Astyanax mexicanus: one gene and its partners. The protein of the gene in region 1 purifies or fractionates together with the protein of each later gene. This does not show direct contact. Links are inferred from orthologs where the notes say so. Each region holds a gene or a part of one and is shown in the gene's direction. Other genes may lie near its edges.

What was found.
Region 2: the proteins of faf2 (region 1) and amfra purify together in Homo sapiens (affinity purification with western blotting; 9 studies listed by BioGRID and IntAct, with this or other methods). This does not show direct contact. The link is inferred for Astyanax mexicanus from reciprocal best matches to the Homo sapiens genes FAF2 and AMFR.
Region 3: the proteins of faf2 (region 1) and pex19 purify together in Homo sapiens (affinity purification with mass spectrometry; 4 studies listed by BioGRID and IntAct, counting the BioPlex papers as one, with this or other methods). This does not show direct contact. The link is inferred for Astyanax mexicanus from reciprocal best matches to the Homo sapiens genes FAF2 and PEX19.
Region 4: the proteins of faf2 (region 1) and derl1 purify together in Homo sapiens (affinity purification with western blotting; 4 studies listed by BioGRID and IntAct, with this or other methods). This does not show direct contact. The link is inferred for Astyanax mexicanus from reciprocal best matches to the Homo sapiens genes FAF2 and DERL1.

The regions. Positions count from the first base shown.
Region 1 is NC_064426.1:2,400,442-2,407,467, reverse strand, and holds the start of faf2 (FAS-associated factor 2), read left to right. Parts: upstream 1-4,023; 5' UTR 4,024-4,070; coding exon 4,071-4,133; intron 4,134-5,953; coding exon 5,954-6,022; intron 6,023-6,128; coding exon 6,129-6,263; intron 6,264-6,358; coding exon 6,359-6,435; intron 6,436-6,970; coding exon 6,971-7,026. Other genes in the region: higd2a (HIG1 domain family member 2A, mitochondrial), read right to left, coding at 449-615, 2,693-2,879. UniProt on the Homo sapiens protein: Plays an important role in endoplasmic reticulum-associated degradation (ERAD) that mediates ubiquitin-dependent degradation of misfolded endoplasmic reticulum proteins.
Region 2 is NC_064409.1:59,157,514-59,165,085, reverse strand, and holds the start of amfra (autocrine motility factor receptor a), read left to right. Parts: upstream 1-4,565; 5' UTR 4,566-5,615; coding exon 5,616-5,870; intron 5,871-6,007; coding exon 6,008-6,100; intron 6,101-6,413; coding exon 6,414-6,578; intron 6,579-6,733; coding exon 6,734-6,886; intron 6,887-6,984; coding exon 6,985-7,025; intron 7,026-7,159; coding exon 7,160-7,292; intron 7,293-7,572. Other genes in the region: nfatc3b (nuclear factor of activated T-cells, cytoplasmic 3), read left to right, coding at 2,269-2,339. UniProt on the Homo sapiens protein: E3 ubiquitin-protein ligase that mediates the polyubiquitination of lysine and cysteine residues on target proteins, such as CD3D, CYP3A4, CFTR, INSIG1, SOAT2/ACAT2 and APOB for proteasomal degradation.
Region 3 is NC_064415.1:44,425,004-44,432,210, forward strand, and holds the start of pex19 (peroxisomal biogenesis factor 19), read left to right. Parts: upstream 1-4,196; 5' UTR 4,197-4,250; coding exon 4,251-4,299; intron 4,300-5,052; coding exon 5,053-5,147; intron 5,148-5,372; coding exon 5,373-5,535; intron 5,536-7,207. UniProt on the Homo sapiens protein: Necessary for early peroxisomal biogenesis. Acts both as a cytosolic chaperone and as an import receptor for peroxisomal membrane proteins (PMPs).
Region 4 is NC_064413.1:4,744,215-4,751,348, forward strand, and holds the start of derl1 (derlin-1), read left to right. Parts: upstream 1-4,111; 5' UTR 4,112-4,361; coding exon 4,362-4,514; intron 4,515-7,134. Other genes in the region: nsmce2 (E3 SUMO-protein ligase NSE2), read right to left, coding at 415-521, 1,023-1,117, 1,792-1,939, 2,029-2,141, 2,878-2,992. UniProt on the Homo sapiens protein: Functional component of endoplasmic reticulum-associated degradation (ERAD) for misfolded lumenal proteins. Forms homotetramers which encircle a large channel traversing the endoplasmic reticulum (ER) membrane.

The DNA.
Region 1 (7,026 bases):
CAGGTATAGAACACAACAGCAGGTAAACAGTGTATAACTTATTAACTCATATTTTAAGCAGATTTTTTTGTTGGTTCTTCAGTTTAAATACCACACAAAACACCAGTTAGGCCTTAAATCTCTTTAATATACATTAACTCTTTGACTCAGAGGTACAAATATATGTAAAGGAAGAGGAAAATAAAAAAAAATCCTACTGTCAGTAGGAAATAAAGGAAGGATGTCTTCACACCTTTTTACTGTGTCCACAGAGACGTTCCTCAAGATGTCCCATTGGATGAGACACCTTCAATTCCAGTCCTAGAGTAGCACACGGGGTCCGATTCTCTCTAAACAGATCTCTAAATGCTTCAACAGAACAAAACATCAACATTAAATCTAAAACCAGTCTGGATCAGGTAAGGCTCTTTAATAGGGAGTTGTGGCTGGTTGTGGTGCTTCTCGTCTCTCACTGTTTGGATTTCAGTGCTGTAGCTGCCACGCCCACTATAATGGCAATGACGGTGAACCCCTGGGCGAAGATACGCGTCCGCATGAGCATCTGAGACTGGTGGGTTTTGCCGTGTTTAAAGGCCCGAAGGCCGTACGTCAGAGCTCCTGCCGTCCCCAAACAACCTGCAGAGAAACAGACAGGAAAACACATTAATGCATTAATTGATCCACTTAGAGATTACGGAGTAGCATTTAATTATTTCAAGATTTTAAATGATTTAATAGATATTTTAAACGATTATTTTAAATATTTTAATATGACTTAGATTACGCAGCATCACACAGTTCTGGGAAAGAAAAAGAGATCTTGTAAGGCTCTGCCAAAGTTACTCAGTGCATTTATAGATAATATAACAAATAACATGTAATGAAAGTGTCTTATCTGTATCGCAGTGTGAACAACAAGAAACAGCCAGAATATCTGGGCAAAGCAAACCCAGTCTGAACAGATAAATCAGAATAAATACCAATAAATAAAATGGATTACGTTAGTAAGTGAGGAGTTCAGTTGTTGCATAATAGGTAACAGATCTCTTACATATTTGCACAGATGACTCCGTTTAACTAAATTAGAAGCCACATATCACAACCACTCTCTGTTTAACTCTGTGTTTAAGGAAGATTAAAATCATATAGGCATATAAAAAAACATCAATTAATGTGTCTTTTTTTTATACAGTGAACTCAAACGCATTAGACCAACCTTAAGTATGGAGCAAGTAGGTTTATGTTTATCTGCTGTGTTTTATGTTGCATTTGCACATATGTATCAACAATGGGCATAAAGTTATTAAGTATATAATTATAAGTATAAAGGCTGAATACATTCAGTATAAAGAGGTTTTGTTACATGTCCACCTTTAAAGGCCTGTTCTGGATTCTTGTACAATTATACAAGTCCAAGATAATTATTTGATTATTTAAACAGTCATTTCCTGTTCCTGACCAGGTTTATTTTTGCAAGGAATCCCAGCTGGACTTTGAGGGACCCTGATACTCATCTCAGAACCCCCTCGAGTCCAAAAGGAGCAAAGGTTTAGGACAAACTGTTCGGATCCTGTTAGTGTTCACGGTCCCACATCCTTCCAGACCCACTGCTGGGGAACTTACTTGAGGAATTACTACTCACAAAAATCTAATTTAGTGTTTTTCTTTTTACTTAGTCTGCTTTAATTTCTTTAATTTAGCACTGCACACATACGTCCTCTGTACACTTGGAGAGCATCAGCAGGAGATGAAAGACAATAAAGTCAGGCAGAACATTCAGATCTGAGTTTGTACAAAGTGCTAATTCCACCAGCAGCAAAACAGCTTCAAAGCATGATGCTACCACCACCACACTTAACAGCAAGTACAGTACAGTAAAATAGACCTTGTTTGGTCCAAAGGTTCCAAAATAAACTAAATGACCAGGTGGTTTCCATCCATATTGAGTGAACCATGAATAATTTCCTTTTTTCACAGTGAAAACTCTGTTTGGGTGTTTTTTTTTTTTTTATTATTCTTTTAAAATGTTCTGAATCTAAACTATGAAGAAAAACTAAATTAAATTATTTAGTAAACAAAAAAAAAGTTAAATGTTTTATATTTTAGATCATTTAAAGTAGCACATCTTGCTTAGATCTGCTTTAGACATTTTTGCACATTTTATTTATTTTTATTTATTTATTACCAGTACAAAATAAGTACAATAACAAATGTAAAGAGACTATCTTGTAGTAGAAGTTAAACAGTACAATTTAAATTGGATGATCTTTAAAAGCTTTTAGACGTCCTTAGAAGTGAAAGCTGGCTTTGTATTGGACTCAGAGCACACAGAGTGTCCACAAACATCTATTGTCCTCCTTTATTGAGTTCTGGAGGCTCAGCTGCGGATCAGAGCTGGAACTATAGGCAGGTTCCAGCAGGTCAGATGTTCTACAGGCTGCTGATATAACCTATGTTAGATACTGTTGTTCTAGATATGCAGCAGCAGAACTAATGTTACATGTTAGAGGTCATGAAGGTGTTTACCAGCTATATAAAGCCAATAAAAAGCACAGAAAGTTATTAAACACTGAGAATAACTGAGTTTAGATCTATAGATGATTATAAACACACAGCAGCAGTAGTAATAATAATAATATCTATAATCCGGCAGTAATATAATACTAATAACAGCGCTGTTACAGAGCTTGTGTAACAGTGTAGGGTATCTCACCGATAGGGACGAACGGGTTCTCCTTGGTTTTGCGGAGAAACTTCTCCTTAAAGCTCTCCTCTTTCTGCCGGGGCAGCGGGGTGAAGCCCTCTATGACCGGCGGGCTGCCCGGGTTAAAGGCTGCGGCTCCGGGCAGCGCTGTCCGCCCAGCCCGCTCCTCCTGTACCGCGCTAGAAGCGACCGCCATACTCAGTCCGGCTACTGCCTCTACTGCTGAGCTCCGTACTCACACCCATACACACACTGCACTGCACCGCCCCTACAGGCCTCCTCCTGCTACTGCAGCTACTGCCTCTACTGCTGCTGCTTTAAAAATAGATAGATAGATAGATAGATAGATAGATAGATAGATAGATAGATAGATAGATAGATAGATAGATAGATAGATAGATAGATAGATAGATAGATAGATAGATAGATAGATAGATAGATAGATAGATAGATAGATAGATAGATAGATAGATAGATAGATAGATAGATAGATAGATAGATAGATAGATAGACAAAAAATAAATTATGTTTTATAGATACATTTCTTTGACCTGTTATTTTATTATAGTGACTGCAACAAGGATATTTGTTTTTTTTTATCAATCTGCTTATCTTACTGGGTAAAATCCATAAAATGAAATTCAGAAAATAAAATCCTACCTATGCCTTATTTAAAGAAGACTTCTATTCCTACATATATTCAACTCAATATATGCAATGTAAAAGAATCTGCCAAATTAATGAATATATTGAGACAATTACATCTTGTTTAAAAATATAAATTGCTTCCTCATACCAATCTGTTACACCGTCTTGTTTTTTTGTACTTTACTTTATATGTATATAAAGATAAATAGATAAAAAATTCTGTTGTCACTGAATTGAAGTTTTTCCTTAAAAAAAAGTTATAATCTGTTTTGAAAACCTTTCTGTAACTTTTCAATGAGAAATAACTGTTTGTAACTGTATTCTCTGGAAATTCTTAATATAAAAAAAGAACATTTTAAATATACGTAATACATAAATATAATTATACATAAATATATAATTCTATATTCACGATTTTTTTGTGCTGTTTCAATATACACAAAGGAAATAAACATGTGTAATTTTAATTTCAATTTCCAGAAAATGTGAAACACTGTATATCAGTGGTCCGCTGCATTCATATTTACACATACATATCAACAAATATTTTTCTCACTTTGATCAAATTAACTCTTTAAAAAATGAATGAAAGAAACAGAGCTCTTAGGCTTCTTTTCTGTCCACGTCACACACAAACAAGGCCCTCGCGTCGCACCTCAACGTGATCACGTCGCACTTCAACGTCATCACGTCGCATTTAAGCGTCGGCACGTCGCGGTGGGGGGACTGGCGAGGTAAGATGGCGGCGCCAGAGGAGCAGGAATTATCTCAGGCTCAGACTGAGAAACTCCTCCAGTTCCAGGTACAGTTCGCTCTGCTCCCGCTCACCCACACCACTCACACCCGCCGCCCTGCGGTCTGTCCGGCATACGGGCTCAGAGCCGCCGCGGAGCTCCGAGCCCCGGTTTCGCCGCTTTAATACAACGATAGGAACAGAACAGTTAGCATCAGGCTAGGCTAAATTAAGCTAAGCTAATAGCTAGGTTAGGCTAAGCTAAGCTATCGGCCGCTCCGGGGCTGTAGCGCGGAGGCTCTCCTCGCGCTGCTGCTGCGCCTCAGCGGTTAGCAACACTGCTAACTATTCTACCCTCAGAACCAGCGCAGCCTGAGCCGATTAATGATCGATTATTATCGATAATATCGTTCAGATAGAGCGCGTGAGGAGCGCATGGGTTAGCCAGGAGCTGCCGGAGCATCAGCAGCTGTCAGTTTCCATCAACTTAGTTGGCTGAAACTTGCTGTTAGCCGGTTACTCAGCATTCAGGAGCCGTTGCTGAACCTGTAGCTCCCCTGAGTCTAATTTGGTCTAAAGGAATAAACCCGAATTAAGTAGTTCAGCCAGTTTAAATTCAGTAGTTTTAGTAGATTCAGTAGTTCTAAATGTTTAATCTCGCTGTTCACTTAACCTGACCTAACTCTGGTCCAGAATTAGCCCTAATTAACTAGTTAACTAATTCACCAGCCCTAATTATTAACTACAGTTCACATTAGGGCTGGGCGATATGGCAGAAATCTTGTTTATATCATGATATACTTTTTTAAATCGTTGGTACGATACAATTACATTATGTTGATATCAACATGCTCCGTCTTTATCTTTGGTGTTGTAATAACACACTGGTGAGAGCTGGGAGATACAGTTAAAATAGTATATCACAATATTTAAAGATGTTTTCATGATACACTTGGGTTGTAAGAAATATATCGAGAAATGTTGAGGTTGAGTGAAAACCTCTGGAATAATATATGATAAAAAAATAACAATATAATAATATAATCAAGAGGAAGATGGATGATCACAAGCCATCAAAGCAACCTGAACTGCTTAAATTTGTGCACCAGGAGTAAAGGCATAAAGTTATCCACCAAAAGCAGTGTGTAAGACTGGTGGAGGAGAACATGATGCCAAGACTTTATTAACCAGTTAAAAAATATGGCCTTAAAATGTCCTGTGTTACAGTAGTAATAGTAGTAGAAGGGGTACTACTACTACTAGGTACTAGGATGAAGAAGCTTCTAATCTTTTGTCTTTTATATTTAGTTTGTTAGTAAAAAGTTCATATTTAATTTCAGGTTATATTGGTACATTCATCGTGACATTCAAAAAAATCAAATTGTGAAATAACTTTAGTTAGATTGACACAGAAATGAAAGTGAAAATGTTCCTAGGTGGCTCATGATGATTTATATATGAGGGCTGGGCAAAATGGCCATTTTGATATAATAGTTAAGAATATAAAGGCTACAGAAAAAATGCCAATAACACTCTCAACAAATGTTTGTACCTACAAAAGGCTAAAAATGAATTTGCCAGTTCATGTAATGCATCCTGAATTCAGTGCCAGGTCAGGTAAATTGTAAATTTATGTATACTCAAATAGTGGAGAGTCATATTGGCGTTATTAAAGCATTTTCTATTACAATATTGTATCAATATGTATGTTGATATTGAATTATTGATGTTTTACAGGTTGCAGTGTAGATTCAATCACTACTGTACTAAATAGATTTTTATTAAAGGCAAAACAGATGGGTGTCATTCTTAAAACATACCTCATATGTACAGTATGTCCTAATATGCTGTTAAATAATGCAAAATCTATTATTTTTAATCCCGTACAGGACCTGACGGGCCTGGAGTCGATGGACCAATGTCGCCGCACATTAGAACAGCACAATTGGAACATTGAGGTGAGCGCTGACGGGGGAGATCAATGATTCCTTTCAGAGAGATGTTGGAGAGAGCTTTTGGCAGCTGGAGCTGCATTGTTGTGATGAGAATGCTGCTGTTTTACAGGCCGCCGTACAAGACAGACTAAACGAGCAGGAAGGAGTTCCCAGTGTCTTTAACCCGCCGCCCGCCAGACCCCTACAGGTTAACACAGCAGATCACAGAGTCTATAGCTATATCGTCTCCAGGCCACAGCCTAGAGTAAGTGCTTCATCTGTACCCTGTTACTGACGCTTACGTTTGTAAATACTATTTGTTTCGTGTCCTCATTCCTTTCTTACCTCTTTATTTTACAGGGATTATTAGGTTGGAGTTACTATTTGATAATGCTCCCCTTCAGGTTTACGTATTACACACTTCTGGACATATTCAGGTAACACTTTTCTGCTTTTACAACCTTTAATTAATTCATTATAGTTTTATTCTTTTTTTGTTTGAGTGCATTAAGGGTGTAATACTTTCCACAAACGATAAAAGCCCACGTCTGCAAGAACAAAGCAGACGTATGTAGTCTAGTATGAAGATGATCTGTGCAGAGACTCCAGCCAAAGTCCAACTTAAGCTTCCTTAATATATTTACGTTGTTCTATGTGTAAAATACATTCATTTTCAATAGGCATATATGCACCTGAAACACTACAGTACAGCCTAACGCATCCCAAATTATATTTTCAACATAAACATTTTAATAAAACATTATAGTCGTTATGGCTTTTAGAAAAATGTGCACTATAGGTCTCTGTGATATGCCCTAAACTTAACTAGTACTTTTACACTTATACTTGAGTAGAAAGCTTGAGTGGACCAAACAAGACAGGATTGTTTTTGTGCCTCATTGCAACCCTATAATGTGCAATATGTGTTCTATTTCTTAAAAGATCTAACAAGTTCTTTGTTATTTTCTTCAGGTTTGCCCTGAGATTCATTAGGCCGGATCCTCGGGGTCGTGTCACAGATCCTGTTG
Region 2 (7,572 bases), on another chromosome or scaffold:
TGTAGGGCTGTAATTGGTTTAAATAAAGTGATCGGTTGGTTGGTTGGTGGATATACTGTCACTGAAGGACAAACAATCTTGCATTTCTAAATTACTGGTTCACAGGAGATGAAACATTAAAGTTAGTAAATGTGAAATGATTTTATTGCAGATCATTTTTGGAGCATATGCAAATGCATTTATCTTCGGTAATTGGAGGTAATTGAGACTGAGACAGTTAATTAGGACAACAATTAATAAACTTTGTTCATATAAATTTACGTCAAACATAAGCCAGGGGCCCGTTTGACTTTTGTTTTACTCTCAATAGAAGACCAGGAGGTACTACCCCACAGTTTGTGGAAACCTGTTTGGTTTGAGTCTAATTATAGTCCTCAGTCCTGCAGCATAGTGGGAAAGAGGATACAGGCCTGTACGTAGCATTGCATCAGAGTCAGTGAGGGAGCTAAATATACTGCGGAGCTTAATCTTCTGTAGTTACTAGCGCACAGCTGTTAAGCCACTGTAGTGATAGACATGCGTGGTTCATACAAAACATTCTTGTGCTTAGCATTAAATGAGATCCTTACATAGCAGAGGATATTGGCACCCTACTGTGTAGCCTGACAAATCTGTGGCCTTCAGGGGTTTGAGCTTTATTTGTTTATACTGTTACTTTCTTAGCTTGTGTATTTTAAGGGAACAGCACATTTAAAGTGAAAGATGTTCTGACCTACCTCTAAGGCGGACAGGAAAATATATTTCCTCATCTTTCTATCTGAAGTGTAACCTTGCATTTAAATGGCTAAATTTGGACTGGGAATCCTACAAGCTCAAATATAATTCTGTTAAATGTTTTCTCGTACTCCCTAGCCTGCTTCTGTGTTTTCAAAAGAGAGTAGGCACCCATCCAACCTGGCCTTCTGCCACCATGTCTCAGCTCCACTTTTGTGTGTTGGAGAGGACAGGTGCAGTGGACTGCTATGCCCCCCTGATGACTGAGTACTGTTGTTTCTCATCATAGGGCCTTTCATTGCCAAGAGTGTAACCCTGCAAATGTGTTGCCGTTTCCATTCTCTGCAACAGACCCTACTGAAAATATACATTTGCTGTTGCTCAAGTGTATTTATAATGAATTGACACGTATGTATTATATTTGAATTATATATTATGTTTGGTATTTCTAGAGAAGTTTAGCAGGACGAAATACAGACAAACATCTAAAAGCTTTAAAAGGAAAATCAGATCAGATATTGGTCAGACAGTAGATAATATACATGCTGTATTTCCCATGATGTGTAGGTGTTTTGTTTGATGCTAAAAATAGCCCCCTTTGAGTTCTGTTTTGAGAACCATATCTGACTAATTTTAGGTGTTTGACATTTGATCTATTGAATCAAGAAGATTGTACAAATATGACTGTGTTGCAGTAAAAGGTGTGTTGTTAAGCACAAAAAAAAAAAAAAAAATTTTAGCATGATTGCGTTTTCACACTCTCTATACCAGCTGTGGTTGTTTGGTGATGCACACAGCGTTGTGCTTGCACTGAACAACAGGAGGATATACAGATACCCAGCTGAGCCCAAATATAGGAACAACACTGCCCTCAAATGGTTCTAAAATCATTTCCTCTACACGGGATAAGCCCAGTCCTAAGATTTTAACTGAGACTAAAAATACTTTACTGGACATTCCATGCAGTCTTAGACTTTAATCTGTGCTCAGAAAACTGCTATTAGGAGCTTTGGGAATTTAAATGTAAAAAAAGGTGACTTAACAATACTGGCCTAATATTAGGGATATACTGAAATGGAACATTTTTGACCAAAACCAAACAACAAGTCTGAATACAGAATATAAAGTGTTTTTTTATTATTAGTATTACCATTTTAACATAGATAAGTTCAGTTGTCAAATATTTGGTGCATTGTCATTTGTCATCTACTACATCTACATCTACATTAATTCATTATTTGTGGGTTTCAGATAAAAAAAGAAAATCTGGTTAAAATTCAGATTCAGACAAAAAAAAACATTAAAATGTGTTTAAAAGACATTTAAAAAAAATACATAACAGAATATTGTACAGGCAAGAAAACAATTATTTGAAATAAAAGTACTATGTAAAAGGGAATCATTTTTTATGAGAATGCAAAATGTGCTAAAGGCTTTGTGCCCTATTTACATACCTAATACTTAATATTTTATTAACTATTGTTTGTTACCATTATAAAAAAGTTAATGGTATGTTTGTTTTTAACTTGTGTTTTTTCTTTCTTCTCTTTTCAGTGAGCGAGATCATTGTCAGAGACTTGTTCCAGAGTCCAGATCCTGCAGGGGATTCTTATAGCTTGCCATAGCAGCACTGTTACTGAGTCAGATCCTCTGACATGATCAAGTTGTACTGTACATACTGTAATGTATTTTATCTGCCTTATACTTTTAAAAGGGCTTCATAAAGAAAACTTATCATACATTTTGTATTTGCAATAATCAAATGTGTTTATAAGCAGTTGCTGCATAGTATGGGTTCGAGCTTTACTAGGATTGCTAGGTACTATCTTTTGAATTGTTCTTTGAACTGGACTTATGAAATGTGAATGTTCAAGCTGAGACCTGAGACTAGATGTGCCTTTTGCTGAGGTGCCTTGAATGTGACATTCAGTTTAAAATCAACTCTTCACAAAATGTTGACTGTGAAGGGTGTTTATGACTCTATGCAATATTGTTTTTATGAATCTAAATATTTTGGGGTGGCTGTATAGGACATTTTACACTATTACAGTGTAACCTAGGTGTGATAGTTGAAGCTGCCACTGGAACTGTAGTTTGTAATTGTGTAATTTGGCATGATTGATTTGTGATTTGCTGAGAACACACTGATTTGTAACATTTTCTGTTAGACGACTTGTTACGTGACAGACACTTTTTATCTGAAACTTTTTCAGATTCCATATTCTATTTATGAAATTGTATGGAACATTAAGGTATGTGACCTTTTCCTATGCACTGAAATTTTGCCTGTGTAGAAAGCTTTGGAATTAAATATTGTTTTTCAACTATATTAAACAAACACTTTCTCCTATTTCTTTTATCTCTATTTCAAGATAAAAGCCATGTTTATGACAAAGACACTTATAGAAGGCCTTAAACTACAGTAGCCTTAAGACTTTAAAAACTTTAGGTATTTTTTTATATTTGACCTCTTGTGTTTTCGAAGTCTGCTGTCCAGATTTGTTTGTTTATTTATTTGTTTGTTTATTGCTGCCAAAAACTCATTAACACATTAATATGGAAAACACTTTGGGTTGTTAATAAGACTAGTCATAGACTATATTTTTGTCATAGACTATATCTTACTCTAAAAGTCTCAAAGTCTTCTTCTTTTATGTATGTGCCAGTAAACTAAACCAATACACTAAAGTGTCACTATGCAGAGTGCATCCAAAACTGCATTCATTAGCATACAATGTCTTCCAAACATGTCTAATAGTAACAGAAGTCTTCATGAACAGAGATACAGAGTCTACAGTGTAAGGTTTAACTCACTGGTTTGCCACACAACAGTTATTGTTTGCTAAAAATATTTAAAAACAGTTTGCAAAAAAAAGTTTGTGGAGAGATTAAATCAAAAATAACTAATAAAAACAATGACAAGGCAAGTATAGAGGGAAATCTAAAGAAGTGGTTTTTAAACGTTGTGGATGGGGCTACTGCAGCCCCCGACCACACAAACATATTTTAAACTAAAATATGTTTTATACTTTAGCCACATTTAGCGTTGAGGACAGATTTGCACACTCTTGGTATTGTCTCAGTGTCTTCATGAGGTATTCACCTGCAATAGTTTTCTAAGCATCTTGTATTAGTTGCTTATGAACTAGTAGAATAGCTGTTTTATTCTATAAACTACAGACATTTCTCCCAAATTCCAAATAAAAATACTGTTATTTAGAGATTTTATTTGCAGAAAATGAGAAATGGCAGAAATAACAAAAAATATGCAGAGCTTTCAGACCTCAAATAATGCAAAGAAAACAAATTCATATTCATAAAGTTTTTAAGAGTTCAGAAATCAATATTTGGTGGCATCTTGGCATCTTGGCATGTTCTCCTCCACCAATCTTACACACTGCTTTTGGATAACTTTATGGCACTCCTGGTGCAAAAATCCAAGCAGTTTAGCTTGGTTTGATGGCTTGTGATCACCCATCTTCCTCTTGATTATATTCCAGAGGTTTTCAATTTGGTAAAGTCAAAGAAACCCATAATTTTTAAGTGGTGTATATGGCCAGGACTTATATCTCGTTCCCATGCCTTAATAGGTCGTGGCAACGCATTATTATTATTTTTTTTACTTCACCATAGGGGCTTGTAGGTTACCTTTCTACAGCTATACTGGGGAGAGTTCAGTAATGGATTGGTAGACTTTTTTTAGCACTCTGAAGTCGATAGTTTAACTAATGATTTTTTTTACACACTTCCCAGCAATTAAATGCTGTATAACTAGAACTACAACAATCCCCCATCAGCGCCTTCCGCAGCAATAGTACAGTGGCGGAGTGATACGCGCCATGTTCTCTTGTGTAAACAGCGGAAGAGGCTCGGGTTGCGTCAGCAGCGCCGGAAAAGCTGAGAGAGAGAGAAACTCCGAGAAACAACTGGAAGACTGGAGCAGACACACACAGAGACGAACACAGCGGACCCCGGGAGTCCTGTAGTTGTAACACAGCCTGCACTACAAGTTCTGTTCGGACATTTGTGGGCGAACTCGGCCTGAAATAGTCACTGACGGCATTTCCCCCTGACTGCCTGAGTTCGTATTAATCCGCTTAAGAATATTACTGACATTACTGAGAGGCGAGGCTTCAGCTGGAGCGGTGAGCTATAGCCCTGCTGGCTTTAGCCTGTTAGCTTCTCTAGCTAACTAACCTGTCTTGCTGGAGACCACAGGCACTGCCAGTGAAACTGTAGCTATTGTTAAAACATTTGCCCGCCCTGAGATCTGTAGTAATGGAATTTAAAACCGAGAAAAGCAGAAAAATGCATGTAACCTAGCGTTAAATAGTCTAGTCTAGCTAACGTTAGTCGTTTTCACTGGTGTCTTGTGTTGTTTACACGTAATGCTAAACCAACTAGCTTAGCTTAGCTAACAGACAACACGTAAGCTAACCTAGATTTTGATAGCTAGCTGTCAGGCTAAGCTAGCTAGGTTAGCTTTCCCAATTCTAAGTTCTAAGGACTTGTGACAGCACAGAAACGAATTTTCAACTTGCTAGCTAATTATTTAGCTAGCTAAGGTTACCTAGTGTCTAGGTAACCTATCTAACGTTAACTTACCTTACCTGTCTAACTTATATATCTATTTAACCTGGTAGCTATCCAGCTTCACAGGGTTCGTGCCGTGACCTGAATCCTAAATAAAGCTTGTTAAATAGCCAACTAGGCCTGCTAAATAACTTGGTTAACTAATTAACTATTTAGCTAAACTATATCTAACGTTATAGAAGACGGGAGCTCACAGTACTGCTCCCACCCCATTTCATCATCAGTGTAAACATTTCAGTGTAAACACAGAAAGCCTCTCTGTAGATCCCTCTCTTTATCTGAAGACGTGCACACTGGACAGTCTCGCCATGCCCCTGTTGTTTCTGGAGAGGTTCCCCTGGCCCAGCCTGCAGACCTACACTGCGCTTAGCACAGTCCTGCTCGCTGGTTCGATCCTCAGTGCCTACACCGCTGTAACCCAGATCCCAGAGCCCGCAGCTCCGGTAGCAGAGGACGCCCGGACCGAGCCCATCGAGGACAGTAAAGCTGATCAAGGAGAGGCCATTGAACATGTTGCCTCTAACGTGTTGCTGTATCTCATCGCCGACAACTTATTCGTCTGGGTAAGTGCTCTTACTAATGGTCCACTGTGACAGCAAACAGCGTCCTTATAGATTATTTAGCTTATTTTGTCCCTGTGTTTATGAAGATCAACGAGTAATCACCCCCCAAAGCAAACTGCACTGTCCTATCTCTTCAGGTGATGGTGAATACAGCATGCTGTGTCCTCATGCTAATCGCCAAGGTGATCCAGTGCATTGTTTTTGGTCCTCTGCGGGTCAGTGAGAAACAGGTGAGCGCAAAAGCTTGCATAGGGCTTGGCCCTGATTATTGAAGAAGCATTTTATTCAATGATGCACAAAATATTCTCAGACTGAAGTTATTCAGCCAAAAATAAAAAAAAAGCATATTAATATTAATGAATATTTTCACAATAAGACTACTGAACATTGCAGTTTTTGTAGTTGTTATTTGCCAGAATGTTTAACCTTTTGCTTTATGAAGCTTCCTCTTAGCTACACCTCTGTGTTCTAACAACAGAGTTTGGGGATTTTTTTGTTTTCTTATGAAACCCCTATGTCTCTGTGCTACCTCTATCCCAACAGCACTTGAAGGACAAGTTCTGGAACTTTATCTTCTATAAATTTATCTTCATCTTTGGAGTGCTGAATGTGCAAACAGTGGACGAGGTAGTGCTGTGGTGTTTGTGGTTTGCTGTACTTATCTTCCTTCATCTCATGGTTCAGCTCTGTAAAGATCGGTTTGAATATGTGAGTACTCCTATAAGCACTTAGAAAGAATTCTTGGTTGTTTTTGAATTTAACTAAGTATATAGCTCTTTTATCTACTGTTTCATGTGGAATTGTGAATTTAAAAGGAAATCACACTCAGATATTCATTCATTCTGTTTCCCCCCCCCCCCTAGCTGTCATTCTCCCCAACCACCCCCATGAGCAGTCATGTGCGAGTACTGGCCTTGCTAGTGTCCATGCTGTTGTGCTGTGGAGGCCTAGCTGCGCTCTGTGGCCTGGTCGGACATCTTCATGGCATGCATACTGTTGCATTTATGACAGCTGAGGTAGGGATTTTTCAGTTTCCGAGCTTCTCTGTAACACTAGAGAGGAAATTGATAGTTGTTTTATGAATGGAAAAACAGAATCCTTTTCTATTTTGCAGTGTTTACTTGTTACGGTGCGCACTGGACATGTTATTATAAGGTAAGCATTTTGTCAGTCCAGTATCAATTACGAGTGTACCGCCGTTTATGCTGTCACTTGCAGGCAAAGAAACCTGAGCTGTTAAGTGCTTCGAAAAATATATCACTGAGGTTTTGCTTGTACTGTTTTTTTAGGTACTCTATTCACCTGTGGGACCTGAATCATGAGGGGACTTGGGAGAGCAAAGGCTCTTATGTCTACTACACTGATTTCATTATGGAGCTTGCTCTTCTCTGTCTTGACCTGATGCATCATATTCACATGTTGGTGAGTGGCATGTGGTTATTGATTTGAAAGCAGCTTATTTTATGTAATGCTAAGCATTTAATTGAATCATTCTTGCAGTCCGATGAGTCTACCTTTTGGACTAGGACTACAGTGCAGCCACAGATCATTTAGATCAAGAGTATTATTAGGATAAAAAAAAATCTTCTTTAGAGCATGGTTGTATTTTATCTTTAATTTATTCTTTCAAATATGAGTAATTGCTTGCTCATTAGAACTGGATCTGAACCAGACTGCTCTTGACAGATTGCTACAACTTTAG
Region 3 (7,207 bases), on another chromosome or scaffold:
ATTTCCCATACTTGTTTCCCCAAACTAGAACACTATGTTTGGTGTAGGACTATGCTTAAAGCAAAGCACGTAGATTATTAATTTAACTAGTTAGTTAACTATTTAGCTAACTATAACGTTTCCCCATTTTAAAATGTCTCGCTGAAGAGTACAAAGACGTTACAAAAATGCTGCGCTAGTTCACTCTTGTTTAGTTAGGTTAGCTACCTAGGTTACCTAACCTAAAACACGTTGGCTCGTGTGTATTACTGTACTGTATGACTTTACTAGCTTGCGTTTAAGTAAGTGCTCAAGTGCACACTCGATAGCGGACCCCGGTGGGCGGGCAGCAGGGTGCTCGGCGTCTGAATGCTGCAGGGTGAGCGGGAATATTGGAACGCTGCCACTCTATCGCTACAGTTTCGGTTCATAAACCGCCTTGCCGCGGGTCAGCACCCGAACCTACCGACCAACCTGCCTGTTTACGCGCTCGGCTGGCCGGTCCGCGCCCCCCCCTCGGCCGCTCAGCGCTCTCCTCCCCAAAACCGCGGAGCTTATTTTCACGGCAATCCGCCGAGTCGCACCGCATTTTCCGTCTGCGTTCAAACTCGAGCGCGCTGCCCGCGGCCTGGTTAACACCACAGGCCTCAGAACGCATGGTCTCTGCGGGGCTGTACACAGATTTGAACCCACCTGCACTAAAACTCGGGTCTAAACTGTGTTGGAAGGTTCGGGAGAGTGTTCAGAACCGCTTACCGACTGCCCCGCAGCTTCAGCTGAGTCTCAAAGCGAGCTGTTGAGGGTTTATCCGCAGCGGAGAAATCCAGCCTCGCCGAACGCAGCGCAGAAAACCAGCAAGAACACCTGACCACACCCACCTCACACATAAACCCCGCCCGCAGGCTGCCCATTCGCGGCGTGTCTCGTCACTCAAACGAAAAGCGCGCATAAGTCCCACCCATGCACAGACACTGACCAATCCTAGCCTGGCAACTGTTGCTAGCTTCCATACTAAAAGTAGCTACCCGCGCTAGTTAGAGCTAGCGTTAGCAACGCAAGTACTGTGAATTGGGCAGCTACACCTTCTGCGGTTCTCACAAACACAATTAAATTATACACAACACAGTGTAACTCCAAGTCAACCACACTTTTGTAAAATCAATATGTCCAGTTAGAAAGCAACAATGATTGTGAATCAATTTCACTTGTTATTGTGGAAATGTAACAGACAAAAGGTAGAAATAAGAGACAATTATCAAGACAACCTTTATAAAGGAGTGGTGACCACAGACCTTTTTCTCTGTTCTCATCCTTTCTGGCTGATGGTTTGGTCACTTTTGCATTTTGTCAGTTCTCTCACCATAGAGGTAGCATAGGCGGAGTCTACAAGTGGCTCAGGTAGTGCAGCTCATCCAGGATGGCACATCAATACAAGTTGTGGCAACAAGGTTTGCTGTGCCTGTCAGCACAGTGTTCAGAGCATGAAGCAGATACCAGGAGACAGGCCAGTACACCAGTAGACATGGAGGGGGCTGTAGGAGGGCAACACCCCAGCAGCAGGACCGCTACAGGAGGAGCGGTGCAAGAGCCCTGCAAAATGACCTCCAGCAGGCCGCTAATATCCATGTTTCTGCTTAAACTGTCAAAAATGAGGGTGGTATGAGAGCCCAATGTCCACAAGTGGGGCTTGTGTTTACAGCCCAACATTGTGCAGGGCGATTCGCATTTGCCAGAGAACACAAAGATTCGCCATTGGCGCCCTGTGCTCTTCACACAGGTTCACACTGAGTACGTGTGACAGACGTGACTGTCTGAGTCTGGAGACGCTGTGGAGAACGTTTTGCTGCTGCAACATCCTCCAGCATGACTGGTTTGGCAGTGGGTCAGTAATGGTGTGGAGAGGCATTTCTTTGGAAACATTAGATGCTTTTCCACCGGCATGGTGCCAGTGCTGGTGCCAGGTTCCCGAAACGGTTCTTTGCGTTTCCACTGCAAAAACAAATTCTTGGCCAGAAAAGCCGGTTCCGTTCTGGCCCCACAATCTTGCTGGTCTGGAACCATCGAACCTGTGACGCGAGCAGCCAAAGGGCGGGGCTCTGAAGCATCTCCAGGACAAAGTTGTTTACAAACCTCACCTCAATTCACAGCTAAGAGCAGTAGAAGCAGCTAAATGAATCTAAAGTGAGGACAGCAGCACAAGTTTTAAAAGGAGCTCGGGTTCTGCTGTGTTGTTTTCAAAAAGCCCCCAACTTCTGTTTACGCCCACATTCACATAAGTAGTAAGTGACCCCTTAGAGCAGAGGAAACACGGGCCGGTCCTTAAAAGGTTAGCAGGAACCGGCTCCGGCACCAGCACTTTGTAGGTGGAAAAGAAGTAATTGATGCTACGGACTGGCCTGCCCGTTCCCAGACCTGAATCTAATTCAGCACAACTGGAACATCACGTCTTATTCCATCCACCAACGCCACAGTCCACCACAGACTGTCCAGGAGTTGACTGATGCTTTAATCCAGGTCTGAGAGGAGATTCCTCAGGAGAACATCCACCGCCTCATCAGGAGAATGTCCAGGAGTTGTGGGAGGTCATACAGGCACATGGAGCCACACACACTACTGATCCTCATTTTAACTTATCTTGAGGAATTTCCACTGAAGCTGGATCAGCCTGTCATTTGATTCTCCACTTTGATTTTGAGTATGATTCTAAATTCAGACATCCATGGGATAATAATTCTGATTTACATTGATACTTTTTGTGTTATTTTGTTCTCAACGCATCACACTATAATAAATACAGATTTTCAACTGGAATATTTTATCTAGGATGTGTTATTTTAGTTTTCCCTTTATTTTTTTGAGCAGTGTATATAATATCCTCTCATATAAATAATACACAGTATTCAGGGCTAATAGTTTAGAATTTCTCCTGAAAGTAAATTAGCTGTTATCCATGGCTGTTATTCTAAGTCAAATCTGTGCAGTTTAATGCTATAATGTCAGAGGAAGATCTACTTTTTAATTTTTTTGTAAGAGCCACACAAGATCTGGTGTGGTTCTGCTGCAAGTGAAGACTGTCAGCAAGACCAGGCTCAGCTGTATCTCCAACATGCCTAATAACACATTTGTAATAAAAAAAAACTTGAGGGTTTTTTAGGGTCTTTTGGGTGTATGTTTTCACTTATGGAATTTTATTCATTTATGCCAGTCTGCTTTACCTTTGTATGTTGTCAGAAACCATTTTATTTGACTGGATAAAAAAAACAAGATGAGAATAGTATAATTTATACATTTTGATATATTCAGTTTTATAAGGGATAAAAATAATAAAATGTGGTATGTGATTTTTACATAAAGTTTCACATATGCATATACAGTGGTGTCAGAAAGTATTTGCCCCCTACAGATTTCTTGTGTTTTTGCCTTTTTTTTTTGGCGTACTTACAGCTGAGCTCAATTTTACTAGCCACAACCAGGCCTGATTACTGCCATACCTGTAAAATCAAGAAATCACCTAAATAGAACCTGCCTGACAATATGAATCAGCTAAAAGATCTCAAAAAGTGTGTTTGGGCTCTGCAGCAGGACAATGATCCAAAGCACACTGACAAATCCACCTCTGAATAGCTTAAAAAAACTAAATGAAGGTTTTGGAGTGGCCAAGTTAAAGTCTGATTAAGATGCTGTAGAATGATCCGTTTTTTGCTTGAAACCCCCGCAATGTGGCTGCATTAAACAATTCTGTAAAGAAAAGTGGAACACAATTCTTCCACAGAGAACTCCCGGACCTGTTTTTTATATTCACTCAGGTTATCTTTGTCTTATAGTAAAGTGTGTTTAATACTTGGAAAAATTATTACAAAAAAAAAGCAAAAACAAAAGAAAGCTGGAGGGGGGCAAATGCTTTTTCATGCCACTGTGTGTGTATTTTAATAATACATTAATAATATAATAATAGAAAATATTTTTTTAAATTTACTTTTTATTGCAATTTAATAAAAAAAAGTATTAAAAGATCTTAGAAGAATAGCCACTTATAATAAACATATTCTAAACGTGTTTTTAAATGTAATGGGTTGTTTATATTTAATGGCATAAATAAAATCTTAGTAATATAACACATTTTTAAAACAAAAGAAAGCCTGTTTTTATTATTAAAACCTGCTGTTGAATATTGATTATTGGTCGTGTTTTGTGTTTTTTTAGGGGACTTTTACTGTGGCGGAGACGCCGCTGCTGCGTCACTTCGTCCCCGGGCTCAGTGCGGAGTGAAGATGGCAGAGCAGCAGGCCGCGGACTCGGAGCTGGACGAGTTACTGGACAGTAAGGACTGGGTTTACTGGGCAGCCCGGTAGGGTTTCTGTTTAGTGAGGGTTCAGAATAACACAGAGGAGTAAGACAGTGCGCGGCACTGAAATATCTGGTGTTGTTTTACCACTAAACTGGAGTTTATTTAAATAACTCGGTCCACCTTAAATAGTACAGCAGTTACTATACTAGTTTGAGGAATTAGAATAAAACTGCTTTATCATTTAAGGTGGACCGGACAGATTCAAGAACAAAGTGGAATTTCTCTTCTTTATCATGCAGTCAGTGTAAAAAATGGTCGCATACACGTTTAATTAGGTTTATATTGTTTATGAATCACTTTTATATCTACTGTAACTCAGGTTTACATGGATATTTAATTATAAATAGTATAAATGGTAAATGGTAATGTAAATGTTTACAAATCGTATTATTATTAATATTATTAATTTTTTAATTAGTATTATTATGGGCAACAGCAGTGACAGAGTGGTTCTAACATCTAACAGTAATAACTGTATGCTAGATAGACTACCAATAAATACATTACACAACAGTTTAACTATTTGTCCAGAACTATTCAGGCATCTAATGAATAATTTCATATATCCCAAGTAATATATAATAGTTGTCTGGATATATAGTAAACATAAGGCAGAATGTAATTGCTGTGTAATCTAAAGTATAACATTCATACCAAGTCATTTTTATTGTTGTTTTTTATTTTATTTTATTGTTTTATTATTAACTTGATTACTCCGTTCTTAGGTGCTCTCGATGACTTTGACAAGAACAGCGCGCCCCGTGCGGCTCCTGAAGCCGCTGCAGCTCCCAGTGAAGAAGCTAAAAGTGCAGGGCCAAATGTAAGGATCAGTTGTGTCATAATTTAACCTTTTGCTCTTTTTAAATATTAATGCCTTTAAATCTTCTGAATGTTAAAATTCTTATAATTTCATTTATACGTGATATTTATGTTATTGGGTCTTTCTTTTTTTTTAATTGACATTATTAGAACTCATGATTTTTTTTTTGTTATGTTATTCAGTGTGTATAAAACACTGACAGTTTGTGCTTGTGTGTGTCTGCAGCCCCCTCTGCTGGAAGACAGTCAGTTCTTTGAGTCTCTGTTTGAGGGGGAGATGGCCAATCAGGCAAAGGAGGAGTGGGAGAGGGCAATGGCTGAGCTGGCGCAGGAAGAGCCAGAGCTGCTGCAGCATTTCCATAAACTGTCAGAGGCTGCTGGGAAAGTCGGTACGTCTGCATGCATGCTGGATACCTGGAACTTTTTTGTTACCTTTGTTAACACACAAGTAGAATTGCTTCAGTACAACTGATTGCACAAACCCCACATCATTTAGTGCTCAAGTAGTACTGAACAGTGTTTATGAACCAGTCTGGTCACTGATTTAAAAACCTGAACTTCTGATTGTCTGTGTTACATTGGGTGTTCATCAGAATCTGTTGTGTAGTTCTTAAAGGGATAGTTCGGTATTTTTGACATGAGTCTGTATGGCATCATCATAACCAGTGTCGTGCATCCACACTGACTTACCCCCCACAGCGTCCTGTGAGCCGAGTTCTTGTCCAGTTTAGGTCAAAGCGAAAGTAGTCCGGCATGTTTGCTGGGGTCAGGAAAATAACTCCTTTTTCTTCCCAAAGCAGTACGTGTTCAAAAGAGTGATTTATTTACATCACAAAAAACTAACCCTGCAAAAGTCACGCCTCGTAAATCACTTGGGTCCTACTTTCTCTCGTTCCATATCAATGCGCGCAGCGCTGCAACCTGACAGCTAGCCTACGTGTTTGGGTCGCTTTGTTTACTTCTCGCCTCGAGAACATGTCTGACTACGAGAGTGACGAGGAAAACATTGATCACCGCTCAGAGCCACGGGGATATCTTTATGAACCCGAGTATACAGATGTTGAACTTCGCCAAATGGAATTAGATCGGGCAGAAAGAGAGAGGGTGGACAGAGAAGTGGTGGAAGATGAAACTGGAGCCACTGCTGGAGCTGCGATACCCAGGGTGGCCGACAAATCCTGGTGCACTTGTTTCAAGTGCGAAATAATGCAGACCGAGGTGGAATGCTACTGTTGCCACGAGTTAGTTATGCCCGAGATGCAAGACCTATCCATTGATGAGGATGTCAGCGGGGCAGCTGCTTGCATCACAAACAACAGTGACTTCCCTGCACTCCTGAATGCTGGTGTGTTGAGAACTTTTTTACGCTATGAGCGAATGCTGTAGAGAACATTGGTAGGCTACAGTTTTATTTACCTGGGGTGCAGGGACAGCAGATTTCTTCAGAATCCGTTTCTTCATCTGTCGTTGTCCAGGACATGTGGATAAAAAGTCATCATCGCTGAAGTGCGCACTGCAAACACGAAGCTTTTTTATTTTTTCCACTTTTGTGTCCACATGGATGCCCAGCGCTAGTACCCAAAGTTTCCTCAGAGCAACATCAGTCACAGGAAAACGATGAAAACTCTGCGGAGAATCAGCCACATCTTTGTTGCTACAGCCTGGATAGTCACAAGTCCGCACCATTTTAACACACACACACACACACCTAGCTATATATATATATATGTGTTTACAAAGCTTATAAAAGCCAATAGACTTCTCCCTAAAGTTAGCTCGTTTGCGTTGCTAGTCTGAACACAGCTGCTAAGCACTGCCAAAACACAGAACAAGTTGACGCGTGCGCAGCTCGCTGTCAGAATGACGCGCACTAGGGGTGGGCGATATGGCCCTAAAATAATATCACGATATTTCAGGGAAATATCGCGATAACGATATTTTTGACGATATAACAAAGATATTTTATTAATTTCAAGAAAACAGTATTGCAGAAAAAAAAATTATGTCTAAGCTTTATTTAGTATAAATGCATTTCACACTTAAATATTACATTTTTTTGCC
Region 4 (7,134 bases), on another chromosome or scaffold:
TGTTGCGCTCATGCAAAAAACTAAATAACTTCTGAAATTAATTCTACCAGACAGGTATTTAGGAGCAGTAAAGCCACTCCCCTGCAGTACAGCATTATAAGGGTAAATTTTCTGTAAAGTTTCTGCAGCTCTAAGGCTGGGTGCAGCAGCATTTTACTGTTCAGAGGTGAGTATATTGGACTGTAGTCTGTGTGTTGGCTGTGTTAAAACAAGCTACATCTGAACCCAGCATCCTGGGTTACTGGAACACTCAGGGTTCCTCAGTCTAGCACTATTGGGCAGTTAGTGGCTAATGCTAATGCTGCTGCACCCAGCCTTAGTGCAGAAGAAACTTCTCTGAAAACTCACCCTTAGACAAAATATTGGATATCTAAGTGAAATGTGCAGAAATGCACACAGCTGAAAGCAGCTTACCGGAACTTCTTCTTGTTGTTGTGTCTGGTCTTGATCATGGTCAGTGCAGCTTCTTGGTCGTAGTAATGTTGGCACTTCTTGTTTCGTACTGGATTTACCATCTCAACCTGTGAATGATGAGGTCAAACCACTCAAATTTTTATAAAAGTAATACATAATATGCACTCACACCATGAAATGTTCCTGAATTTACTTAAATTACGTAATAAACAGACTTTGATTAAACCTTTGCATCCAACCACAGAGCTTAAACAAGATGCATTTATGGAAAATAAAAAAGAAATATGACCAAATTAACTAGGAAAAATAATGTGATTAATGCTAATACATTATTTTATCATTTAAAACCCCAGTAGTTGCGCAAAACACCCAAGAAAAAAAAAAAAGTATTTTGTTAAACTGCCATTTTTTTTAATCGCTGTGATTGAAGCACGCATTCACTGTGGCATTATTTCAATAAGCTTTATTAGTATTATTAATAATGTTAAAATGCTGTGGTATTGTTTCAGTATTGTTATTGAGATATTTAGGCAGGTATCATATCCAAAGTCAAAATGTTGGATTTTGAGACAACACTATTAATGTATCTGTTAAAAGCAAAAGTTTACCTGGGTAAGAGGACATGTGAAGTTTGTCTGGCTCTGTGTAACAGCAATGTCTTCATCCAGCTCCTCTTCAACATGGGCAGCCGCTGATTGGTTCACTAAAAAAACACACATGAGAACTGTTTAATTACCTTTTTATCTCAAACAACTGCTACCTAAATGAATCCGATTAATACAATAGTATAATAGTACAATAATACACTGCTGGCTAAACAAAAAAGTGGTATTAAGAAACTGGGTACCACTTTAAAATAAGACTACCTTCATAAAGGGTTTATAAATGGTTTACTATTCGTTTATTAATGGTTACTAATTAGGTTGAAAATGCCTTAAAAATCATTAATAATCAGTTATAACACATATACGTAGAAAAGGCAACAATACAGATGGCTGTGTAATATAGTTCACTATTTGGCAAACAACAGGTCACTGTCCTTTCTCTGTATGTGTTATAACTGATTATTAATGATTTTTAAAGCATTTACAACCTACTTAGTAACCATTAATAAACTAATTGTAAACCATTTATAAACCCTTTATAAAGGTAGTCTTATTTTAAAGTGGTACCAGAAACTGAAACCAGGTAGATGGGAATCATTAAAAACAAATAGTTGATTTTTAGTAACACTGTCATTTTGATTGTAGCTATTCTACCAATAAATGAAAGAGGAAGAGTTTTCCTACGACAGAGATCATCATTTATTGTTTTGAGTTTAATGAGTTGAAATCGCTGTACTGTGTTTGAGACAGGAAGAGACAGTGTGTACGATACCTTGTGCCAAAGATTTCCTGATGTTGTCTCTGAAAGCCACTACTTTGCTGTGTCTCTGAACGTCTGAATCCCTGTCCTTTAGTTCAGCAAAGCGATTCTTTACAGAGTTTAACAGCGAGAACATGGCCTGTGGAGGTTCTCGTCTCACCTGCAGACACAGGAGAAAATACAAGATGAATTAGAGGGATAGAAAAAAGTATATTAGAATTAGAATTGAAACGATCTAAAATTACTAACATGAGCTGTCGTCTGCTCAACAGATTCCACAAAACAGTTTATCTCTCTGTCCAGAGCAGCGCATTCTAACATCATCTGCTCCAATTTTCTTAAACTCGGACTGTCATCAGTGCCTGGAATAAAACAAATAAAAAGAATCATAGCAACACAGCATCTGAATCTACACACACTCTCAACAATTACAAGAAACATCAAGCATGTTTACAGTGCTGTAAACCATAAAGCTTCGCATTAAACCAGTAACTCGGTTAATCAAATTACTTTAGTAATAAACTCAGTATATGATGAGAAAAAAACGTACGGAATGGCATTATTAAAGTCGTAATATTTCGAGATTAAAGTCTTGATATTACGACTTTAACCTCATAACATTACAACTTTCATCTCCCAATATTACGACTAAACTCAGAATATTACGACTTAAATCTTGTAATATTACGGCTTTATTCTCGCAATAATTAACCTTACTTTAAGAAATTAAGGTCAGTCAATCTGAAACATTTCAAGAGCTCTTAAAGTATCCTCAAGTGCAGTCACCACAAAGACCATCAAAAACGTTATGATAAAACTGGCTCTCATCAGTAACGCCCCAGAAAAGGAAGAGCAAGAGTTACCTCTGTTGCACAGGAAAGTTCCAGTCACAGATAAGTGGGACCAAAATAGGTTTTATGGTTTGTTTAACACTTTTTACTCGTTTACTACACGACGTGTTCCTTTATAGTCTAAAATACTTTAACATTTATTTACAATGTAGGAAATATATAACTGTATGTATAAAAGGCTGTATTTGATTAAAGATTAGTTAGTTAATTAGTTAAGGTTAGATTTAGGTAAATAGCTGTACTGTACCTTGGGCTTCCACCAGATCCAGAGCGACATCTGACACGATGTCCATCCCTGTCCCAATATCCACCTGACATGTCTTCAGACTGGACAGCGCGGGCTGAACTGAACTCAACGACATAATTTAACGCTAACTGTTACCTCTGTGATTTCCGGCTACAGCGGACTGGTTAAGAAACTGAATTAATCGGAAAGTAAACCGGTTTGACCTGCGAGTGGGTAAAGCGTGTTTACAAGTTAGCTAGTTAGTTAGTTAGCATGTTAAGCTAACCGTAGTTAGATAATTTATCCGAAACAACCGGGTTCAGCCAACAAAACAAGCGTACACACACGTAGCTAAATATAGTATAATAGTGTTAAAGTTGTTAAAAGGTTTATAAAAACTAGCCCGACACAAATAACCAGTTTATTTTACTTCAGATAGCGACTCAAAAACAAATCAGGCTCCTGCAGCCCGCCTCAACTACTGCGAGTGACGTGAAGACAAAATAAAAGTCCCCCCCACTCTCTCTCTCTCTCTCTCTCTCTCTCTCGCTCTTTCTTTTTTTCTTTCTTTCTCTTTCTTCTCGCTCTACAAATATACAGTACCAGTCAAAGATTTTTTTCCTACTATGAAATAACACATAATGAATCGTGTAATTAAACCAACTAAAAATACTCTGAGAAGCACTTAGGCGGGCTCAACTAACAAACACTATTTAAAAAACAGTTTACTTCGATAATAAACTAGTAATATGACGAGAGAAAAAGACGTATGGAATGACATTATGAGATGGCATTAAAGTCTTAATAAACGTGTAATATTACAACATTATTCTCGTAATGTCACACCTTTATTCCTGTAATATTATGATAATATTTTTACTTTAATTTCGTAATGTGACTTAAATCTTGTAACGTTATGAAATTAAACTTGTAATGTCATGACTTTAATCTCGTAATATTACGACTTTATCCTCGTAATATTACAACTTTAATCTCATAATGTTATGACTTGAATATTGTAATATTATGCCTTTAATATCGTAATGTTATGACTTTAATCTCATAATGTAATGACTTTAATCTCGTAATGTAATGACTTTAATCTCATAATGTTTTGACTAATCTCGTAATGTTACGACTTTAATCTTGCATCATTTGTTAACCCTTTTTAAAGTTTATTACATTATTCCTCATGTGTTCTTTCGCGGTCTCGGGGCTTTTATTTTGACATGCACGCGCAGGAGACGCGGACAAATCGCAGCAAGAACCGTCATTTGGCGTCGCGGCCGCAGCCTATCGACTCCTGCGGGGCCACGTCATGTAAACGGAGTAAAAGCGCGTCCGACCGACACTCAACCAAAATAGAAGCAGCCGAACCGGGTTCACCCCGATCCGCCGCGATCCGCCGCGATCCGCAGAGCCGCAGCGCCGCGCTCAGGGCCCGGTGTAGCCGCAGGTTAGAGTACAGAGGAGCGGGGCTGAGGGCTCCGCAGCGCCGAGGAGAGATGTCAGATATCGGGGACTGGTTTAAGAGCGTCCCGTTCATCACCCGGTACTGGTTCGCGGGCTCGATCGCGGTTCCGCTGATCGGGAAGCTGGGGCTGATCAGCCCGGTGTTCCTCGTGCTGTGGCCGGAGGCTTTCTTCCACAAGTTCCAGGTGAGAGCCGGGGCCGCTGGGAGAGGAGGTTGAGGGTTAGGGAGGCCTAGGCCTCGGTCTTAATGAGAGAGGTGCGAGATAGCTAATTATTATTAGCTGTGAACCAGCGATCCAGTGTTATGTCGATTTGGGCTGTGTTGTCAAAACCTGCTACCACAGGTCTGTATTTATAGATCATTTTTATTTTATTTTTTTCCCCACAAAAAATATAGCATGTAGGTTTTGATAAATAACATTACAACAACAATGCAAGTATAATTCATTATTATCATATTACAATGAATATTACTGCTTTTCATCCTATTTTATTACTATTATGTCAGTGGCATATAATGATTTTAAAATTACAATAATATATTTTTTCGCATTTATTTCTAGGACAAAATAACGTCCACAAAAAAATGACAGGGCTACAGTAAATAGCAAAACAGACTTCTTTCATGAATATCACTGTCACGATATAGATTTTTTTTTTTATAATGAATTGTTTGTGATATTATTGCGTACGTTATGACATGGCACGCCCCTATTAGGTAGGATAAAAACGTCATATCAAAAATGCTTTTGAGTAAACGTGCAGGACAGATTTGTAATTAGTCATTTATTCATTTATTTATCAGGGAAAATCTAAGGCAATTAGCTCATATGATAATTTTGTATATATTGTTTTATAAGAATTTCTAATTACACTTTTGTAACACCAAGTAATTACATTTCATTTTGAATTCTGCGCTGCACCTAGTCAAAATGCAATTATGTGGATTGTGATTTGCTAGCACTTAGTGCTTTTAGCAGCTAATGCTAATACTGCTCCAGCCTCAGTGCTGGAGAAACTTCACTTAAACTCCTGTTTAACGCTGTACTTTACTGCTCCTTAATACCTGACTGATAGAATTCATTCATAAGATGCACTGGATTATAAGACACACTGATGGTTTCTTGGAAAATTAAATGATTTTAAGTGCACCTTTTTGTGTGAAAAATATAGTAATTATACAGAATTGTGTGTGAGTGCATGTGCAGAGCCGCTAAGTCACAGGGTAACATATCACACATATCACTGGGTAAGCAGGGCTCTTGGTTTGAGAGGCAAATGATGTGCGTGCCTGTTCAAGCATGGGTGCACGTGTGAAAGCGAGACATTTTTTTTTGTGTGTATTTTTTTTTTTTTTTTTTTTTTTTTTTAACTAAAATTTTGAGTGAATTATTTTTTTTCGTGAATTAATTAGATTTTTAAATAGCTAGATAAAATATTGGGGGGATTTATGTGTAGTACAACAACAAAGAAGGAACAAAATATAAACAAAAAAGCAAAAATTTTATTCTTAACCTACAAAGAACCCAGATCCACATTTGAATATTGATACTATTTTAAAAATCAAATCAGATAAATTCAGTAAGCAGCTCATTTTTTTTTATTCTGAACACATGACTGTAAACATTTTATCAAGTTAAATCCTGATATAATAAATATCACAAAAAATGTATGTCTTGTATTTTACTTTTTTTTCCTAGGTGTTTGTAAAACATTTAATTAAAGCATTTGAATGGTTAAAATGGTTGGAACAGGCCTGTCACAATAAAACATTTTTATGGACAATATATTATCCCAGAAATTAGCATTAAATGCTACTGACATAATGATAGTAAAATAGCACAACAAAGCAGTTGTACCCTTTTAAATACAACATTTAAATGAATCATAGTTTGGGAAATATATGGTTTTTTTTTTTCTGTTTTTTTTCTTTTGCAGTTGTTGAAGCATTGGTCTGGTATTGCATGACTGGCTAAAATACTGTTTAAATATATGTTTTATATATAAACAACCATACAAATAAACACAATATGTGATGATATCACGATTATTACATGTCATTAAGGTCATATATGTTTATTGTGTGATAAGTTGAAAACATTTAATTTTTCATGACAGGCCTATGTGGAATTTTTTTTTTTTTTTTTTTAAAGGAGCTTTAGTGGTTTTATCTCTATTTAAAGCACTTCTACTTTCTGTAAATAAATAAGGCGAGATGAGTGAACACAGATTCACACACTGTCCTGTAGTGATGCTCTCAGGATGTTTAGTATGTATCACTTAAGGAAATTAATGTGAGCTAAAGTGAAGAACAAAGTGCTCTAAGTAAATTTATACATCTTTTAAAAGGCTCTGTGACATGGGCTCTTTTGAGTTATAATATTCCATACCACCTTAAACAATGCAGCAGGTAAGTACTGCACCATTTAAGGTGGAATGGTTATTTAAAATATGAAGTCCACCAGAGGGCGCCGAACACATTGACTGTGTGAAACACGTGGGTCACTGTGTGTTTAAATGGAATATAGGCTCAGTTTATTAGAGGTGGGCGATAAGACTATAGTATCATAATGCACAATAAGATTTTTAATACAACATGAGTAATCAATCAACTAATCCTGTGTAATTAATTGGAGTACATTAAATTCTGAATAAAAAATAAATTTTAAGTGTAAGCATTAACGCTGCCTTCGCTTTCATGTCAGAGGTTTGCTCGTATGACTCTGGAGCTCATAGTAGAGGTTCTTAAAGGGGCCACAATATTCATTTAGGGGCCAAATATATTTTCACCAGTCACACCATGTT